Linked DNA regions of Saccharomyces cerevisiae S288C. Changing the gene in region 2 together with the main gene of any one other region gives a genetic interaction. Each region holds a gene or a part of one and is shown on either strand. Other genes may lie near its edges.

Region 1 (3,455 bases), on a different chromosome or scaffold from region 2:
CAGAGTCTATTTTTATTGCATCTTTGCATATTCAACTAGATATCAGCCCGGAACAATTTACTGACCTGGCCAAAATAGTTAGATCAAAACTTCACCGCTATGGCATTCACTCCGCTACTTTGCAACCTGAATTTATTACCAGAGAGGTTACTTCAACCGAAAGAGCCGGAGACTCCCAAGGTGATCATCTACAAAATGACCCGCTTTCATTAAGGCCAAAGACATATGGTACTGGCATTTCAGGTTCCACTTGTCTTATCGACGACGCTGCCAACTGCAACACAGCTGATTGCTTAGAGGATCATTAAAAGGACTTTATAACGAAAAAGCGTGAAGAATTAAATACTTTTAAAAATCGTTATACGGTACATATACATACACACACACACATATATATAGTCGTCTATAATGTTTTTATACAATGTTTATCATAAATTTTGTTACAGTAAGAAGTATAGGAGATAATATAAAAAAAGAGGAAAAGCGAAAACAGGTGATAATAATGATGATCATAATAATAATATAATAGCAATAGTCTTGCAAAACAACAACTTGAGGAAGGAAAATAGTAATAATGGTGTTTAGCTTTTTTTAGATTACTCCAGCTTCTAAAAAAGAGTACAATACTTAGCACAATAATGCTGTTATCTTTTTTCATTTAATTAAAAAGACCAGTTGTTAAGAAATAATAAAAAAAAACTCCTTTGTTTAGAATTCAACAAATTAGAAGAAAAAGAACCTAGTTATTGTTCTAAAACCTTTGCCCACTGAACTTTTTTGTAGTCCTTCGTACTCTGTAGTTCATTACATTGCGTCAGCTCATCGCGCCTTCCTGACTGAAATTCGTAACCTCTTATTACTGCCGCGTCGGGAAGGTCGTCTTCATTGTCTTCTTCATTATCTTCATCTTCGCCAAAATTACTAGCTTGCCCATATATTTGGTCTTTAAGCTTCTTGTATTTCTCCTTAATTGAAGAGTTTACTGGAATTGTGAGCTTCTCCCAAATACTAGAAATTGCTGGTAATTTGTTTTCTTCATTGCTCAAAGTAGAATTTATTTCGGTGGCAAAGATGGTAGCGTCATTTAATGAGCCTCGCGACGAACTGACTATGAGATTCAGAGATTTGGCTGGTACTGTTAGAATTGATTTTTTGGGCTTCAATAGACGGTGAGAGGGTTCGTACCTTGTTGGCTTGAAGGTCGATCTGTTTACTGGAGATAACCTTTTTTTGAGTTTAGGCAATAAAAGTGGCACATCACTGTTGGATTCCAGTGGGCTCATCGGAAACGAAGAATGAATCATTCGGTGGAGCTCCAGTGCTTCTTTATTAACAAGCGGCTTACAGTTCCAGACAAAAGAATCAACGCCAAAAGGATCTAAAGAATCAATCTTTTCAACATCAGGCGATGTCGAGTTTATCGAAGATATATCACTCAATGGACTAACTAATTCATGTTCTGAAAAGCAGTCGTTATCAAAACTCAATCCAGGACTGACAATATTCCGGTAATCATTATATCCTTCGGTCATAAATGGATTGGTGATTTCACCTTGATTTTTTTTTATTGATACGCTAAGAGTTTGGGCTTTGACATTCTTTGAACTTGTCTTAAATTTGGCTTGGTATAAACGAAACCGTTTGGAGGGCGTAGTGTCTTCTGCTATAAAGCCTGATGAATATTTACATTTTTTACTTGGTGTACTGGGTATTACAAGCCCAATTTTTTTTTTTGATTTCGGTGTTCGCAACAAAAGTGTGTCTGAAGAATGCATTTCATCCATGTTTTTGAAATTTTTTTTTTCTTAATTTTATATTTCTCTTGTTTAACTAATCAAACATATTTACAGAACAACTTATCACCTAAACGCGCCTAAGTTCCAAATATAGCTGAAGTGTGGAAGGCACAAAGAAATGTTGCGTTTAAATAATACTTCGCTTGATTTTCCTCGTAGAGTGACAAAATTGATCCATTTTAAATTAACAAGAATGTTACCGCTTTAAAACTAAACTGTAAACAGTATCGAATGACATTTACGGTAACGGGCTTAAAATTCAAGATTTTCCTATCGAAATGGGCATGCATCTGTCGTTTACCTAAGCAAGGCTATGTATCGTTACACAACGTATTTAGTGTGTTGTGAGCTCTCTTGTTTACCAATTTGCACTAAGAGATATTCGCAGCTGAAAAAAAAAAGTTTAAACCCGATTAGAATAGCCATGGGATTTTCCATGCATTACTGCTGTCTATAACGGCGTGACCAGTTTAGCATAAATCCTTTGTCCGTAGTTTCTTTGAATCGTTCTGTCATACTGTTTTGTTTTTAAGACTGAGGCTGTCAAACTTTAATCTCAAAATCGGCCTGAAATCTTGAAAAAGCGGGATTGTTTTCTTTTTTTTTTTGCATATTCCCGTGGTTCGCATTTCCAAAAAGGGATTTGGTGCCTAGATATTTCCTTGTCTTCCCCTTTCGGATATTTACAAAACTCGAATATGTTATTTACTTTTATCCTAATTGGGCGATGTATGGATTGGACGAAAGTAGAAAGGTATAACTTGCCCAAAGGGTGGGCTAGCTGAGAGTTTTATGTGTCGAATTACGATCTCAAAAAACAGAGTAACGCAAAAAACCCCTACCCAAGAAAATGCTTCTGAATCTTAAAAGGACACGTCTTTTAAGAAGAGCTCGCAGTAGAGTAAGTTGTTATCTAAACTAATTACTGCCGTGGAATCGCCTTACTTTAAGGCCTGCGTAGTAACTCAATGCATTCTCTTGATGTTTATCCCCCAAGCTTGTTGCTATGCAACTATTTGTCCTTATAATATGTAGTATAGTAAAACTCTCGTAGTTACTTTCTTGGACATCACTGCTGTCCTGAGATAACATTATATGCTCTATTCCCATTGGTGGGACGATAACTGATTTTATTCATTCCAACCAAAAGATTGTACCGATATGCCATGACAACGAAATCTTGGAATACTTCGAAAAGAAAACACTTTTTTGTTGTCTTTCTGGGTGGGAACTAACGTTTCCATTATTTTTTTAACTGACATTGAAAAGGCAAAGCAACTGTCCTAGATTTTTTTGTTCTACTTAAAAGAGCCAAGGAGACCTAAAAAAGATAGTTATGAATATCCTCAGTATTGTTTACCCCTATACAAAAGTTCTAATCCAATAAATATGTAATGTTAAGTAAAAAGACGGAGAAGAAGCAGTAAAATAAGTCTCTTTCCTCTCCGAAGTAACGAAAAGAAAAGAGCAGAAAAGAAAAAACGCCGGTCTCGCTGCCTATGGTTCTATTTAAAATCATAGCATACAATAGACTTCGTAATGAAGATAACTGGACTTCTTTGCAACGGTGTTCGTCTATGCGGTCGTTAAGACACAAGGACTCAAGAGGGTTTAGTATCCTTTTTTTGTTGGTTCCTGCAGCAGCGTCAGACGCGTTGC
Region 2 (3,041 bases):
ATCACAGTGTAATTTTGAAGAACTTACATTGGGCCAATGGATGAGCTGTGACCATAATTTATTAGTTGTTTGTGTCACAAGCTCAGACTTAGAAGTTCTCTATTGCAAACATTATTTCATGTTTCCTTAAATTTTTTTTATTGCACCAACTTTAGTGACCCCTTGTGAGCTCCAACATATTTGAAATCTTCTTAAATTTCTAGTCGGCAAGCAGCAAAGAATTTCAGTAGTAATCTCTACCGCGGCAATATCGATGCAAATGTAACTACCTGTAAGGATATTGTCTTCAGTGGTTTGGTATGGTTTTGTACCTTACTCAACATCACGAATAAAAAGGAAGGAATACGAATCATGATATTGATGTTTAATCTTTCACCGTCAAACAATTAACATATATAGTATATATATTCTTTTATAGAATACTGCTTGAGCTATTTTTTTACTTGACAGAATGGCGCCGCGAAGAACCCCTAAATTTTGTAGCCCTAATTTCGATCAGTTATATATAGCTATGGCACCCTCTTGAATAGCTTCATGATTGGATCTTTTTATATAGTTTCCACGTACCACGCAAAACTTGTCTCAAGTAGCCACTTTACGAGGATTTTGAACGGATTTCTAGCAGTTTCTTCACGCTGGGGCGCTGTTGCATTCTCTTATACCAAGCTCGAAGCGCCTCGCACTCTTCCGGCACTTGTAGTTTTACAATTGCAGCAAATATTAGACCAGCTATTACTGTGATGTCAGCCATTGAGAATGAATCACCAGCAACATATGGGCGTTCTCTGAGAACGGTATCAAAATAATGCATTCCATGTAGGGCTTTGTCGCGCTGGCGAAGTCCCCACTCTTTGTTTTGGTAAAGCTCGACTTCAGGCCCCAATCCAGGTGTAGCATGGTGAAAATAAACACTAACAGGGTCGAGCAGTTCCAACTCTGCGCGTTTGTTCATCATGTGGATTACGCCTTTTTCCAGCGGTGTTTTGCCGGTAAGAGTGGGTGTACCATCAAGTGCATCAATGTATTCAGTAATGGCTGTGCATTCAGCGATTAAAGTCCCGTCATCAAGTTCAAGCACTGGCACTGTGCCTGAATAGTTCTTGGCAAGAAATTCAGGCTTCTTGTGCTCTCCCTTCCAGAGGTTGATCCTCACAAATTGCACACTTGATAGCATGTTCTTCTCAGCCAAGGCAATGCGGACTCGGGCCGGATAAGGCCCTGCGGGTGTGTCATATATTATCATTTTTTGTTTCATCTTTTCACCTCCATTGTAAATCAGGAAACCTCTGCCATTCATGTATCCTTTGTAGGTACTTTATATAGAGCACCAAGTTTCTATCCTTTAGCAGGAAGCACATTATTAATCATTTGAGACGTAAACGAATGAATTAGTAAGCAGTGAAAGAAATTCGAGCACTAAGCGCGACCTAAGGGAACGGACACGGAACGGAGAAACTGAAGTATCAAATACTTCCATTTGATCAAACCACTTGTATCCACTCCCTGTTTTGCACACGGTAGTAGAAGGTCTTTTGAATATTTACTGTAAATACCGATTTCTATGTCCTTCTTGTCCGATTATAGGATTCGGGTCATTTCCAGCGCCTACTTTCCTTCTTGATTTCAAAATGTGTGGTTAACGTACTCCCAATTGCACTACTGTTCCTACAGTTCACGCGCACCTCTTTCTGATGAAAATGCAGCTGCATTAATCTGCGATCTATTGGCATCTCGCTCTTGTATCTGCCCTCCATTCGTGAAATTTTACTCTATTACCATCTTTGATCATTTTTTTGTCGCAAATGTGATACGGCATCCATCGAATTTTGCTCGTAATTGTTTGCCATTATCGCCCTTTTCATTCCGTATTATTCATCCACTCCGCTTCATAATGGGTTCCAAAAAAAGAACTATTGTACGAGCTTTTAGACTCACGAAAACATTACTTGAACAATAATTAGCGCCTGCAGAACTTGACATAATAAAATTCCATTTTCGATATCTAGCTGTCTGAAGATATGATATCTAAGTAATACGGGAAAGTTTCCGCTATTATTCTCTGTTGCAAGCTCACGTGAAAATGTGGATTCGCGAGTGGGGTGTAAGTGAGGATTGCCAAGCCTTTTGTTCGAAAACTTCTGCAGGAAGCGTTGTGTTGCAAGGATGATGCAGCATGAAATATGTGTTTTCTTTTTTTCGAGGTTCACTCCTACAGGTGATTCCTTCGAGAAATTCTGCAACCCATTGTGATATGATGCCTGGCCGAAAGATTTCTTCATTTCTTCGGAGCAGGTTCGGCCCGAAATCCTCATGATCGAGCCGAATGCCAAGAAGTAAAACACCAGGATGACTAACCAGTTATTATCATGTGTATACAGTACTTTGGTACCTTTATCAAGAAGTATACTAAAATATACCAACACCACACACATGCACATGGTAGCTGAGCGAACAGTTTCGAGATTTCAGCATTAATTTCATCTAATAAGACTTTCCGTCTGCTTTCAAGATCAACGTGCTGAACATTTTTACTCTGCTTTCATAATACTCCCATTTTAGGCTTTGATTCAAAAGCCCACTCAATGCAATACCTAAAATGATATCCTTCAAAGATATGTTTAATGAATATGCAGCCACAGCTTTGAATTCAGATTGACCTTGTGTTGCATTAAGTCAGACACCTCTAGATTTGTGTGGCTGCTCTCAAGAAAGGATGTTGAAGAAGATTTATTTACGGAAGAAATAACTGTATACGGCATTTTATTCTTTCTTAAACGAGCAAATTAAAGAATAGACGGATAGAGACTGGAGCTTTAGCATGTGTTCCGAGAAGTCCTTGACACGCGCCACGGTTGTTATGCCGCACACTACAATGATGTGTTTGAAAAAGTATATTAATGCCTATTGTCAAGATGCAATTCATCAATTCCAGCATTGAGTGATTCTTCTCTGGTGCGGTAAAACATAAATTTTAAATCTAGTACTCAACCACCACTGAACAACTATTAATCATCGTGGAAATTATTATGACGGAAATTGAA

What was found.
Region 1: mutations in GTT2 (region 2) and SFG1 together harm fitness more than expected from each alone (negative genetic interaction), as found in Saccharomyces cerevisiae (one large-scale study listed by BioGRID).

The regions. Positions count from the first base shown.
Region 1 is NC_001147.6:903,089-906,543, reverse strand, and holds SFG1 (Sfg1p), read right to left. Parts: upstream 1,785-3,455; coding exon 744-1,784; downstream 1-743. Other genes in the region: metal cation transporter COT1, read left to right, coding at 1-308; YOR314W (uncharacterized protein), read right to left, coding at 3,172-3,455. UniProt on the Saccharomyces cerevisiae protein: Probable transcription factor required for superficial pseudohyphal development in response to nitrogen starvation.
Region 2 is NC_001144.5:20,543-23,583, forward strand, and holds GTT2 (glutathione transferase GTT2), read right to left. Parts: upstream 1,298-3,041; coding exon 596-1,297; downstream 1-595. Other genes in the region: HSU1 (cystathionine gamma-synthase), read left to right, coding at 3,027-3,041.